2 linked regions of the Lonchura striata genome follow. Each later gene encodes a partner of the first gene's protein in a complex. Links are inferred from orthologs where the notes say so. Each region holds a gene or a part of one and is shown on either strand. Other genes may lie near its edges.

Evidence for each region. The genes of interacting proteins can lie anywhere in the genome.
Region 2: the proteins of LMOD2 (region 1) and uncharacterized protein LOC110483956 are in contact, whole or in part, in an NMR structure (PDB 6UT2), measured with the Homo sapiens proteins. The link is inferred for Lonchura striata from reciprocal best matches to the Homo sapiens genes LMOD2 and TPM1. Residues at the interface, in NP_997046.1 of Homo sapiens: Lys12, Tyr13, Leu21, Leu22, Leu25, Glu29, Glu32, Leu33, Arg35, Glu36, Leu37, Asp39, Ile40, Glu41; in NP_001018005.1 of Homo sapiens: Met1, Ile4, Lys5, Met8, Gln9, Met10, Leu11, Lys12, Asp14.

The regions. Positions count from the first base shown.
Region 1 is NC_134607.1:31,822,770-31,830,060, reverse strand, and holds the start of LMOD2 (leiomodin-2), read left to right. Parts: upstream 1-4,261; 5' UTR 4,262-4,364; coding exon 4,365-4,637; intron 4,638-7,291. UniProt on the Homo sapiens protein: Mediates nucleation of actin filaments and thereby promotes actin polymerization. Plays a role in the regulation of actin filament length. Required for normal sarcomere organization in the heart, and for normal heart function.
Region 2 is NC_134613.1:7,964,070-7,971,499, forward strand, and holds the start of uncharacterized protein LOC110483956, read right to left. Parts: upstream 3,051-7,430; 5' UTR 2,844-3,050; coding exon 2,730-2,843; intron 1,796-2,729; coding exon 1,670-1,795; intron 1-1,669. UniProt on the Homo sapiens protein: Binds to actin filaments in muscle and non-muscle cells. Plays a central role, in association with the troponin complex, in the calcium dependent regulation of vertebrate striated muscle contraction.

The DNA.
Region 1 (7,291 bases):
TTTAACTGTGGACTTTGTTCTGCTAAGGGGCGAGCACCACCTGCCACATGTTGCTCATGGCCTTTAAGCAATTGAGCCAATGTGCCTCAAGTGTAGAAACATGAGAAGCAGAACAGAGTTCCCATAGCTGCTGATTGAAGTAGTTAACTGCTTGGAAAGGCAAAAAGGACACTTAGAAGGGTTTCCTCTTGTAAAACCAAGACAATAATTGATCTTTCCTCAAGGTTATGAAAGATGGAAAGTCTTCTCTGAAATCTAGCTGCTGAAAGCCAGGAACTCTGGCTGCCAAGGTCTACAATGATAGAGTGAATCCTCCTCCTATAAAATGGATGCTTCCAGTTCTCATTTTCTCTCAGCTCAGGTTCTGAAGTGAACAAAGCTTTTAATAATTCTGTTGAATGAGAGGTGAGTTTTCATGCCTGTTGGTGAAATGGTTAATTCCCTGCATACAGGATTTCAGCAGGGCATTAGGGATAAGAGTTTGGGTTTTCTGTTAGGAGTTGGCAAAGCACTTCATCAAATCATCACAAAGATCTTTTAGGTCATCAAGTTCACATATTAACCTAACACTGCTGAGACCACAACTAAACTGTGTTCCTAAATGCCACATCTACACATATTTTCAATACATGCAGGGATGGTGACTCAGTTATGGACACCTGTTCCAATACTTAACAACCCCTTCCATGAAGAGATTTTTCCTAATGTCTAATTGTAGGATGCATCCTGAACAGCAGTCAATGTAGCCACTATAAATCTGCCCTCCTGTACTACATATGGTTCATACTCTACTCACTGCCTCCTGTGATGGAAGGAAGTTAGTTCCCTGTGCCACCTCACTAGCACACAATGGACTCTTCCTAAACTGTTTATAATGGTGTTATTGAGAACACAGCCAGGGAGATAGAACACTTTGCTCAGACTTCTGGGTTTTTTGCTTGTTTGTTTTTTGTTTTTTTTTTTTCAAAAATCAAAGTATGTGTAGTGCCTGAGAAAGGAGACTATGAAACAGGAACAAATGTTTGAAGTAAGAATGTTAATAACAAGAAAACACAATCACTTCTGTCTGCTCTGAGTTCCTCTAGGAAGTTAGAACCTATGATATGGAATGTTGTAAGGGTGGGAAGTTTCAGCCATGGCTGATGCCCACTGCAGTGGAAATGCTTGCATAATGCCAAATACTGCCAGAAAGGGAATCCAAAATTCCAAATTAGTGGGTACTTTCATGACAATTAAGATAATTGATAGCTTTACTATGCTGAAGAACAGGGGCAAAATAAAATGCTGAAAGGCTTTTAATGCGTGTGTGATCTTTCCCATGGAATGAAAAAGAGTAAAGGTTCTAAGTAAAGATTCTGAGCACTCATGTGTCTAGGATCAAAGTATATGATTACAGATCTATGGACTGTGTTTCAGTGCTCATCAGGAGGCAACAACAAATTTTCTGACCTCTCAGTACTTGTCTTAACAGTTTTAGCATCTTTTTTTTTCCTCTGTGTGTAATTTGCCATATGCTACAGCCTTATTATTTTTATTAAAATTGTCCTAGAAAGCATTCATGGCTCTTCACTTTGGCCATTCCCCTGTAGAGAATAGGTTCTAAAATGCCACAAGTGCCATATAGGATCAAGAAGGGACACAAACCTCTCATAACCTCACAACCTCACCTGACTGACAATTTTCCCCCTGCTTCAGGGGAGAAATGTACAAGAAATTACCTTGTCCATCATTAGTAATGCCTTTTTCTTATCTCATGGCTAGAATGGACATAATTGGCATTTTGTGTAGAAAAAATATCACCAGTGTGGAGAGTAGCATTGAAGGTAATATTCATGTTATTTATTATTCCTTTAGAATATTATTTTAAAAATGAAAAATACATGCTGTTTTTTTAAAGTTTCTTTGAGTTTGGAAAATTTGGTTTATACATAGAAAACTTCGAATAGACAATTCAGGTATCTTGTATAATGGGCTCTCAGCTCAGGAAAATTGAAAAACTTACAAATTTTGTTGTACCTGACAAAAAAAGGAAGAACAAAAAGCTGACCTTTTTTCTGGGAAACAGTATATTTGACTAGATTTATTTTTTAACAACATATTTTTGCTTTTAATATTGTACACATCAGTGTTGTACATATCTACATTGTACTAATAAAATATAGCATATTTAGAAAAGCATTTCAGTTTCAATCAGCATTTTCCAACAGAAAATCTGTTCAGTTCACATTTCCCAACTCCATCCAAAAAATATTTGCAACAAAATGTTGTCAGCAAAAATGCACTCAAGAAATATAACTTTGTTGTGCTGCTTCTCTGGCTAATTCCAATGATAACAATGTGAACTTTTGTCCTAGACATATTAAAGAAATAAAATTACTTGGAGTGCAGCTATATACAGATAATTAAAGCCTATGCCAGCTCTACCAAAAAGCATTGATAATGCTGAATTAAAAGAAAAAAGGAACTTATTATATTTTCCTAGTCTTTCAGAAGATTCGTTTCAGAATTTGGCCCAGGCTTCATTCTGCAAGGGCAGCTGAGAGAGTGAACAGAACTCCTATGGATGTCCTGACCTGTCTATGTGTACTTGGCCCATCATGGGACTGAATACCATGAAGGTATAAGGTTGAAGGTAACACTTGTAACTCCATAAGCCAAGCATCTGCCTCCTTTTTATTTTATCCAAGATTCTGTCAATGTAAATGAGCTGTAAATATTTATTTTATATTAAGGTGTAGAATATTCTTATATCTGCTTTATTAATGTATTTTGTAGGTTAGGAAAGACTAAGGTTATAAGCTTTCATACCATTTCTTGATCAAGATGACTGCATGAAGTTCATATAGACAAATTATCAAAGAAAAAATATAATTTCTTTGAGCATGATTTTCATAAAGATTTGATAATCTCATCTCTCTACTGTCAGTAAAGCTGTATGCATAATAATGAAACTAAATGAGCAATTTGGCTAAACAACATACCTCAGTTCAGGTGTCAAATCCATACTGACAAAAGAGATGATGTCAGAAAAGAACAATACTTCAGATTATGTTTACTTACATTTCTATTAAATATTGGCTTGACTGTCTAAGACACACTGTGTGTTATCATTTGAGGTTGATACATGTTGTTCTAGATGTGTTCCTACTTCCATGCACCAAAACCTTCTCTCTTCCTTTGCCCCCGCCCCTCACAACACAGGTTGGCAGCTATTGGTGGCCATCATGTTTCAGAAGATGTTGCTAGTTCATCATCATTCACTGCTAGATAGAAAAAAAGAAAAACCCACATCAGAAAAACAAACAATAAACAGCACAAAGTTTACACTTTCTTTTTTTAAGTCTTCTTGCTGAAGGATGCCTGTCAACAAAAATAAAATCAGAATAATTTATAATCTATTAGAAGAAACTATAATGTAGCTATACATTTAGAATAAAGACTTGAAGGCTCTCTCCAGGTGCACATCAGTCAGTGGCAGTGAGCAATAGCCATTAAAAGAATAGCCACTAGAGGCTTTCAGTTGCTCGGCCTGTCAGAAGTGATGAAGGAGCAGCCCCCCTGCCCACCCAGGGCTTGTTACCCTTAAATCTCTGGGTGACTGTCCTTTTCCTCCAGCAGAGCACAGTTCTCCATGTGAAAAAAAAAATCTCACCGGTGCTCCAAATGGACATGAATAGCTGATTCACACTCTGATAGTCCTAGAAAAAATAAGGGAATGAATAAAAAATTAAATGGTGTGATTTGTTACAAGCAATGTGTGACACTGCGGGAGCAGTGCTCCCCACAGCTGCTGGCATGCTGGCCTCCTCCCCTTGGCTGCCTTTCCGCTGATCCCAACCTCCTGCAAACACCTTGGTGGGATAACAGCATTCCACTAGAAAACTGTGAGAGGAAGTCCACTGAACAACGGCAAGGGTGTTTTATTTCCAGCCCTGTGACAACTCAGGATTAAATGGATTTTCATTGTTCTTTCCTTGCTGCAATTTGGATTTGATGCCAGTGTAAGTGCACCCGGGGTTTTATTTGGTGCCGCCCCCCCGTCTGCGAGGCTGGTATTCTCCCACTAGCTGCCTGCTCTAAATATGGCCATGGCCAGTGTGTCAATAATCCCCCTCTTTAAGGGACTTGCAAACATTAGTGTTGGGACATTCTTGCTGTTCAGATGTCTAGCTGACGTCTGATGCTTAAAACGGAGCATGCTTTCATCCCTTCATGCATTGTCGTAAGCCCCGATGATTACTCTTAAAAGGGTGCCTCTGGCTATGCAGGGAAACAGTTGCTGACCACACGAGACAGCCTGCTTGCTTCAGCCTTCTTGAATGCCTGGTCACTGTAGCTTTGTACCAGCCTGACCAAGCAGGACCATGTCTACCTTTGGGTATAGAAGAGAGCTGAGTAAATATGAAGACATTGATGAAGATGAGCTCCTGGCTTCTCTCACTGAAGAGGAGCTGAAAGAGCTGGAGCGGGAGCTAGAGGACATAGAGCCCGACCGTAACCTTCCAGTGGGGCAGCGGCAGAAGAGCCTGACAGAGAAAACACCAACAGGGACTTTCAGCAGGGAAGCACTGATGGCCTACTGGGAGAGGGAGACCAAGAAACTCCTAGAAAAAGAGAGGTTGGGTGCATGCGAGAAGGTAAGATGCTGAGGCATTTGCTGTTTCCTATAGGTATTTGGTTTTATTCTGCATTGGCATGATCTCACTGACTGATTTAATTTCTTTCAGTTTCTTGTAGCATTTTTAAAAACATTGTTAGGCATACCTCTGTGCCTGCTAAAGTGCTGAGTATTTGCTCAGAGGATGTTTATTCTCTCTGAAAGTACCTTAAGTGCTCTGTTCAGAACAGAAGAAAGTGCTACAAAAACTATCATTAGTGATTAAAATAGGGAAAAAATTAAAGGGCATGTTAGAAATTATTAATAGCTAGAGATGTGGTCTTTTGGATAGCACTCGATTTTTTAAGAAAGCTACGCAAAATGCCTTTCCTTAAAAACCAGCCAGTATTGACTGCTGAGAAACATGTAAGGAAGATAATTTTGAATACATGTTATGTCAGAAGTTGAGTAAGCGGATGCCAGGCTTTGTGCTCGCTGGAAGAAAGCATCTTGTATTGCAGTCAGCAGCTTGTGTTGCTTTGTTCCTGCTGAGGATCCTTGGCATGGTTCAGGAGTCTTCTGGCAACTGTAGTCAGAGGGCAGCTGTACATTATTTAAAAGGTGGCCTGGGATACAATCATCAGTCAAACCATTTAACTGCATTCTCAAAAAAACAACCAATACTTTTTGTTAGGCAACTCATCCCCAAAAATAAAAATGTTAGTAATAAAAGCCATTTCCTGAACTGCAAACAAGCAGTACAGCTGGGCAGGAGTGAAGGTCTGAGTCTTGGCAAGCAGTGAGCACACTCAGACTCAGCTGATATCCATGTTGGCACTCCTAATTCTTGCTAAAAGAGTATGTGAGACTGAGCCCAACCAAAAAGCAACTTCTATCTTCATGATGGCTCCATGTAATTTCAAAACAAAGTGGGGACTTGGGGATTTTTAAGCACTGCTTCATACCAAGCTTTTACTGTGTTTATAGGGACACGTTTTCCCATGTTTAAGCAGAAAGTAATACAACAGAGGCAAAGACAGCAAAACTGAACTCAGAACCTCTAACAGCCTTGATGCAGGAGCTTATTTAATTTACAAGGAAATAATTGCAGTTTATACATTAGATAAAATATCATCCTAGAGGAAAGTCAGAGAGATTAAATTGCCCTGCAATATGCAGGATGTTTTTACGTGTAAGTATTTTCTCTTGTTCATGAATGGTGGTATAAGGTCTTTGCAGGCAAGAGCACAGTAGCTGTCATCAGACCATTAGTATCAGCTTGCAGACATAGACTTCACTCCCTGTTTGTCAGTCCTAGAGAGTAAATGGCAAGATTAATGTTTATTTCCAGCTTAGCCTGGAACTTGAAACCTGGGCACTTCTAAAAAACTGCTGAACAGGTCTACTTCAGTATCTCATACAATGGCAGGATCTTTCTTTTTCTTTTGTTTTTCCATGTATATACAGCATTAATGGGTACTGGCTAAAACTCCAAGTCCTGGCAAAAGACTATACTTTTTGATCTGAGAAAAAACTTCCAAAATGCAAGTTGATATGCTGATATAGAGGTCACAAAGACTCTCTCCACTGATGGCAATGAGAAAGGTCCTTGAAAACAATATTCTTCTTGCTTTCAACTGTCTAGAAATTATGCACCTTTATCTAAGATGGCTATTCACGCTTGTTCTATAGTTAGTGGTGACAGATCAGCTGGTGCAAAAGGCAAACAACTTGCAGATAGCCTTTTAGGGTTAATAACTTGTCCTCCCAAGATATTTACCTCTGCATTGACTCTCTTAGTCCTGACTTTTCATCATACTACTCCCACAAAGTAAGGTGAAGCCCTACAGGTTGCCTGCATCAGTCTTGTACCACAGTGCTGCTACAGTAAGAATATGTCTCTGTATTCAATTTCAAAATTATAATGCAGATTGTTATGACACCAGATGATGTACATGACAGGCAACTAAATTCTGCCTTTGACCTCAGAAATGCCACTCAAAAAAAAAGTAGGTTTTTATTAATTTAACATCACTAAACATATCAAGAGTGAATTTAAAGGCACCTCCTTCTGCTCATCTGTAGTATATATTCCTCAAGATATAAAACCAAAGGCATGAAGACAGGGTTTTGGATACCTGGTGTTTTCAAGTCTTAAAGCCCTACACATATATAGAAGATACAGATATAAATCTTAATCCCATAATAAACCTATAGGTAGCACAGTATCTCTCAGCATAAGTGCCTTGCTGCAGGAGAAGCAATAGGACTGAGTCCTACAAGATCTCTGTGTGCAGGACAATGCAGTCAGACCCTGCAAGACCCCAAGATACTGAATGCTCAGGAACATCAGGCAGAAACAACTCCATGTCCTGTTTCATTAAGAGTCACAGTTCTGCAAACATTACAATTAGCATTTTTTTTGCATATTTCGCAGCACCGAATTCTGCTGAAAACTGTGAGACAGTACTCTGCATTTTAACAGTTCTCTATTTTCAGAGCCAGATAACTAAGCAAACCTAAAACTGCACAGGTTGTCTAAAAATAGGCTGTCCTGTTAGCAACACTTCTGTTTTCCAGAAACAGAATCACTGTGTCTCTGCAGAGTGTACTCACTTTGGAAAATACAATCTAGTATTTTACAGAGATTAAAACATAAGTACTGCTAAAGTAGTGCATACAGAACACTTATAA
Region 2 (7,430 bases), on another chromosome or scaffold:
CAAAGGCTCGGAATTATCCAAACTAATAAGGTAAATATTGGGTCAACTGCAATGCCCCAAATATACTCTTCATTGCCAAAAAAAAATCCCTAAACTGTCAAGACATACTCCATACATACAAATAAATAACGTATTTACCTCGAAGAAAACATGCCAGACACTCTCCCACCCTCCACCTCAATTAAATAAAATTACCCTCAACTAGCTTCGAAACACTGTTTTCCAGCAGGGGCAGGAGGCATGGGGATCAGTTAGGAACATCCTTAGTTTCAGAACAGGAATCTAGTAGCATTTCTCCTGCCTTCATCTTAGGCAAGCTATTTCCAAATAGTCTGCATACTTTTCCATATAAGGAATATCTCCCTTGGATCTATATGCGGCTCCTTTGAACAAGCTAAATAAATGTCCTGCTAGGAAGCTGCCTCTCCTATGGCAGCCTGCACAGAGCAGACATCTGATCCACATTATACACGGATCCCTCTCCCTTGTTCCTTTGAACACTTCTGTTTGTTAAGTTCTTGGGTTCTCTTTCAAAACTATATATCTTAGTTGCCATACTGAAGCTAAATCTTTTCTTTCTTTATTCCTTTTAGAAATAAAATAAGATAAAAGCATATTGTCTTCTATGCAAAGTTGTTGTTTGTAACGTTTCCATTTTTGAAAGTATCCTTCCTACCCCTGAAATACTTTGCTTGCTTCACTTGAGGCAACTCCTTTTCATTTTGGCTTTGAGGTTGGCTTTTAGAGCTGAGCTATAGGAAAAGGAGGGTCATTGCTTTGGAAATACTGCAGTTTCATCTAATCCTGTAATTCAGACCTGAGATTTACTCAAGGAGAATTAAATTGTCCAACAGCAGCAATAGAGACCAAGACCTTAACTGCACAGACTATACTCTTATGGTTCCATGCATGCGATCCATTAAATGCATGTCAGGAACAGACAGGTGGGTGGGATGAGGGCCTGGGAGAGGCACAAGCTCTTGCCTTATTACCATATAAAGTGCTGAGCTATATATATCTCTCAACTTGCTCCCAGGATCCCTGTCCTATGAACTGCAAAACTAGCAAGTATCATCTTCCAGACATTTTTCTGTCACACAAGACAACTTTTCTTTGACAAGTGAAGCAGTTCCACTGATTCCAAGGGAGGGGGGAGGCGGGGGGAAGCAGGAGAGAACCTTTTATCTCAGGGGCCAGTGAGCCAAGCCAGTATCTACCAGCAGTTCTAACACATGCATACCTAGCAACAGCTGTCTTGAAAACAGAACTAGCAGTCCTTGCTCTTCTGGATCTCCCTCTCCTGCACCTACTCACTATTAACTCTCTGCTTCTGTTTCACTGTCAAGACAGTGTTGTTCCAGCCTGAGCCGTTTTACCCATCATCTGAATAGATAAATCACCATTTCTTTACTTTCACATCTCGAGTGGCAAGTACACATAAAAAGCACACATCAAGTGAGCAAAAACCAAATCAGACGCCTCTGATAGTGTGCAAACCTCATGCAGGGAGGCAGTGCTGTGTTTCCCACCTCCCTGTCCAGGAGGTGCCTGGACTCTGCCTTCAGCAAAGCTTTGCAGTGCTGCTGAGTAGGAGTCCAGGCTGTCCTGAGCAGAGGGAGTGTGTGGTTTCTCTTTCGGGCTTGTGGCGAAAGGGATGGGGGTAACTTACATCTGTGGCCTTTTTGTCAGCCAGTTCCAACTTTTCCTGTGCATCTTTAAGGGACTCGGAGTATTTGTCCAGCTCATCCTCAGTGGCCTTCAGCTTCTTTTGTAGAGCCACCAGCTCGTCCTCCAGCTGTGATATGGGTGGAAAGTGGTGGAGAGGGGAGGGCGGGCAGGAAAAGGTGCAGCAGGCAGCGTGATCGTGCAAACGGAGAGGTGTGAGTGCAGAAGAGACAGAAAAGGACAGACAGAGAGAGAAAGAAGGAGAGACAGTTAGATCCTCTTTGCTTGCAGCAAGGGCACAATACCTTGGCAGCATTCTCCTCTGCGGAGAGGAGGCTGTCCTCAGACTTGTGTAGCTCTTCCAGCACTTGGTCCCTTGTATCCTCCGTCCCACGCAATTGCTTTTCCAATTGCACAATGTCATCCTCTAACTAGGTGCACAAGAGGAAATATAATGCACAAGTATGTTTCTCCCTTGGCTTAGAAAACTGTGAAACTAATTTATAAATCACTCTTCCTTTCTCCCTCCTCCTTCAGGATCTCCTAGAAACGTGCAATCGATGCACCCCCCTCCCCGAATCGAGAAGTCCCAGGGGGGTTGAAGAAGGACAAAAAGGTGGGGCATGCGTCCGGAGAAGGGTGGGAGGGCAGCTGGAATCGGACACATCTGCTGAGGGATGATGGAGTGGGCAAACACAGCTTTAACTGTCCTTTGCCAAATCGCCGCACATCTGTCCAGTGCTAATCAGGCGTTCTGGGCAGCCTCCCTAAGCCGTCCCCCTGTGACAAAGGCACAGAGGCCACGCAGCCGTCCCGAGGCCCTGCTCCCTAGCTGGAATGGTGGGGAATGGTTCCCGCCGCGCCCCCGGGAACCTCCAGCCGGTGGCTGCCAGGCTGAAGCTCTGCCTTAGGGAAAGTTCAACCAGTTCTGCAGGGGCGCGGGGCTGCAATATAACAAAGTATGGTGACGGGGGAAGAATAGGGGAGGAGGTAAAAAAAAAAAGAGAATAGTCTGGAAAGATTTGCGCCCCGGCGCTCGCTGCGCCCGGGCCCTCGGTGCAGACCTGCTTGCTTCTCTCCTCCGCTGCCTTCTTGTCCGCTTCGGCTTGCTCGGCTCTGTCCAAGGCGTTCTCCTTGTCCAGCTTCAGCATCTGCATCTTCTTCTTGATGGCATCCATGGTGGCGGTGGGCTAGAGCGCGTCCCCGTGCGAACTGCTTCCGAAAGAAAAACTTTAAAAGTTGCGGGACAGCCCCGAGTCCGGACGCAGGCCCCCGGGGGAGCGGAGTGCAGCTGCCGGGCGGCGGGGTTGATCCGTGCGGGACGGGGCACAGCCGAATGCAAGCGGCGGGCAGGGAGCGCCTCACAGATATGTACTTTCCCAGGGGGCTGACTGCATTCCTCAAGACATCCAATACTTTTTTGGAAAGGGCTTCTTTTCTTCCCTCCCTCCCTCCTCCTTTCGTCCCTACCCCTTTCCCTCTCTCACTGCCCCCGGGTTTTTTTTGGGAGGCACAGCCTTCCCATTCGCTGCCGCCTGCCATTTGACCGCAGATATGACTATATATGGGATGCGATGGGCGAGGTAAGGCGGGGGAGCAATTTGTTCCCATTTCTAAATAGGCAGGACGGGACATTTCGCTGCTACTCCCGGGAGGGGAAAAAAAAAAAAAAAAAAAAGGCAGCAAGACGGAGCGAGGGGAGCTGAAGAGACGGGCGCGAAGGCTGCTCGCAGCGGGCAGGGTGTCTGGGTGACACCGGCCCCACGCGGGAGCCGTCCCCACCCGTGGAAATCAATCTGTTCTACAGCAGGAGGGTGGCGGAGCCGATCGCATCAGGCGGCAGGGGAAGGCGGGCCTGCGGGGCACGGGGGTTTGCAGGACGGGCAGTAGGGGGTTAATCGCATGCACGTACGGAATGAATGCGTTCCGAGACCTCCCCCCGGCAGCCGGAGGAGCAGAGGAGGAGGGGGCACCTCTCCTCAACAGCCGGGCCGCAGCAAATGTGCCCATGCAGAGCCGGGCACGAAGCCCGGCCTTTGGGATGAGACCCGGGCAGGGCTGGCCTTCCGCCGGGACCCACACCGAGGGGAAGGGGCCGAGCAGTGCCGGGACAGGGCAGAGGTGCCAGCGGCTGCCCGTGCTTCCGAAGTGCACCGCTCTCCTCTGCAGTACCTGGCCGGGGCTCCTGGCCCTGCAGGGAGATGCGCCTCGGTACTGCGCGCTCAAGGGCGCAAGGAGGAACAGAAAAGGCGGACGGGAGCTACTGCGACCCTCAGCGGGAGCAGTGGGAAACCTGCCCTGCCGGGGGTATCCAGAGCTGCGAGGGAAGGAGCCCAGGAATAGCTGGGGCAGGGAATCTAGCTACAGACGTGACTTGCACCCTTTCGTAATGCCAGTGAGGGACAGCAACAGATAGACAATTAACAAAATTGCATATAATTAAGTGAAGACCTATTTAATTCACTTCTGGCGTGTCTCTCACAGTCTCATCAGCAGAGTGAGCAAGACACGACACGTCCTCAGGACGCACGCTCCCTTGTACAGCGTAGAAAGTACAGGGATGTGCATAAGTCCCACAGGATGTGGGTTGCACAAAGAGAAAATTAGGCAGCCTTTGTCTACACTCAATACTTGTAGCAGAAAATTCCTCCGTGGTGCTGTCACTGGATCAGCTGAACTGATGTGACTTTGCAGGAGGAGGGAATGTCCTACAACTTCTGGCCCATGGTGCTTATCAGGGCAGTTAAGGGCTTGATTTGCCGAGCAGACCTTGGAGGCCAGTTCCTGGAGAGCTTAAACAAAGCTTCAGCTCTACAAGATAGCAAAGCCCCCTGATGAAGACCAACAGTTACAATCCCCAGGTCCTCAGAAAGGCCATAATCTGAATTAACCTAGGAACTATACAAAATTCAGAGGCTCACAACTTGGAATGGGGATTCATGTGTGCTGCTCCTAGGGAGCAGAAGTCCACTGTTAAAATAGCTTTCCTTATGCCTACTTAAAGAAAAGACATTTATCACTGCAGTCCTTTCTCACTCCATTGATTTAATAACCAAGCTAGTACAACAGTAAAAATTATTGAGTAAAACATTGCACTATCACAGAATGTTTTAAAACACAAGAGTATTAAAAAAGTACAGATTTAGTCACAACCAACTCTAAAGTGTAGTTTTTCTCTTTGCACTTACTTTGATTTCACACTACAGTCAGTAAAGATTAGGGCCTTTCTGAAATAAGTATAGTGAATATTTAAAAGATACCTAGTTACATATTGTTCAACAACCTGACGTCTTTGTTAAATGTATCAGTATGTTTTAACCCTAGTTTAGGAGAACATTTTCCTCTGCCTTAAAAAACATAGAGTATCATTGTTGGGAATTCACTGAGGTAGCTCTTCTCACTTTGGGGAAATAAAATATCTTGCGAAATTAAGCAAACAGCTGTCTGGCTAATTTGGGAGGGGTGCACAGGCTCTTAAAAGAATGCCTGTGCAGCTCCTGTTTGAGTTTTCTGAAAGAATATTAGTCACGACATGGGAGCCTCTAGGATACAGAAGAAAGTATGAGATACAGGTAGAAGGAACACAAAGTTTAAAAAAAATACCTGCAGGATGGTATCACCTCCACAGGAAAAAAAAAACCAAAAAACATTGAGGTTCTACTTACATGAAAATGTGCAGTTAATAAGTTTGTTTATAGCAAGATGACCTGTATCCAAGGGGCTGAACTGGCTGATGTTGATTTAATTTTTGTTTTCCTCCTGGAGAGAATATGAAAAGTACAGACATGTGTTAACATGCTTGCTATACCTTTCATTAACAATTTCAATTACTTGGAAACTTCTGTTCCAGCTGGCCAAGAAAGATAGGCTTAGAAATTAAATAGCTTGTATAGTCTCTCCCTCTTTAATTGATATGTGAAGACAGATTGTATGCAAATTATTTTTAATTACTGAAAGAAGAAGGCAGCACAAACTTTGCTTTTATGACATAGTACAAATTCTCTATTACTTGTCACCTCTTTTTTCAGCACAATGGCTTGGCTCATCTCATCAATAAATGGTGCAGGAACTCCCTAGCAATAGTTTCACTTTCTTCTGGGGAATACCTACTGAACTATTTTTGAATTCTGTTAATTTAACTGGGCTCTTCAGAAAATCAAGACAGCAAACTCAAAGCACCAAGAAAGGATACCTGGTTTTAAAATTTACAACTCCTTCTGTGAGCAGGTGATGCCACAATTCAGGCTTACTGACAGTACAATACAGAGTAAGGCTGGGACTTGTTTATATAATGATGTTTCTGTCATGTCACCTATCCCTTGACATGGGCAGAAATTTGCCTTGAGGAGGATCTGCTCTTCGAGCATAGATGGGGTTGGTCATAGGGGGTTGATTCTGGTAACAGACAAAAGGGTAGGTGGACATAATCACTTGGAAAAATTTCAAACAATGCCTTTGGAGTTGCTTTACCTACTTACTCTTCTCCTGGGTCTCTTTTTGCTTTGGGTTGTGGGTTGGGGTTTTTTTGTGTGGGTCTTTTTTTTTTTTTTTTTTTTTTTTTTTTTAGGAATATACAGGAAATGACACCTAACAACTGGTTCTGCCAGTTCTATAAAACATGCCTCCTAAAAAACTAGTAAGGATTCAAGTTAGGTCAGTCAGAGTGAACTCACAGGCCTGTATGTCATTTGAAAAGTGTAGTGTTCCCTCACATGGAGGCAAATATAAATGAAATATAAACCAATTTCTCAAAGGTCTCTGAGACCTCTGCTGCCCTTGTAAAACAGCAATGTTCCTTTTGGATAAAGGGAGCCAACAATATGAGTGTAGGATATTATAAGAAAATAGGAAATTGAAAACATCTGTATTCACCTAGAAAAACAAATAAAATAATACTGATGAAATCAGGTAGGTTTTACTAGTACAGTCAGTGTATTTTATCCTGTAAGGATCTCCAAGAGCTTTGCACTAAAAAAATTGAGGGACAATATTTCTGAAAGAAGCATAAAAAGGGCAAATTTCTCCTGGGGAAATTGGTCATCTATGCTTCAGCCATAAGGGGAGAGAAAGCCCTAAAACAGAAGGTAGGAATCCCAATGGCCAGTGCTCTGCACAGCTCAGTAGGCAGCAAACAAGTACAGAAATACTCCAGAACATGCCAGTCATGCTTAATTCATGCTGTAACTCTGTAAAAGGTTTTCAGTACCATTTCCTAGGTAATGGTGGAGAACAGTTTAGCTTTTGTGATTAAGAACTATGAGATGATTTGTTGGAAAATTAAGATTTAAATTATTTTAATAATTTTCCTCTTCTGAACTAATGTTTCTGTTTGGCTTGTCATTCAAGAAATTAGTGAACTCCTTAAGTAAAAATGTATTTATAGCACAGTCTTCTGCACCTGCCCTGATCTATAATCTGAGGGTCTACTCAGATACCACACCAAATGCTAAGAAGCACATGACCTAACTCATGACCTAAGATCTTAAAATAGCTCTGAGAAGGTCTTTTTTATTTTTTCCCTAAGACTCCTTTCACTCTAATTGCACTACTGTTATTTGCTAGATTTCAGCTGAGCAAACATGTCTCCCAAGTTTTTGTATTATGCTTTCTTTTAAAATCAGATTTGCTTTAGCTGGTAGTTAGGAGTTACTAATGTCATTCTCTGAAAAACATCTACAAAAAACAAGTAACAGAAAGACAAAACCCAAATTTCACTCTTGGTATGATGTTTTTCTACATATTTCTCTTTATAGCTTCAGACCAAG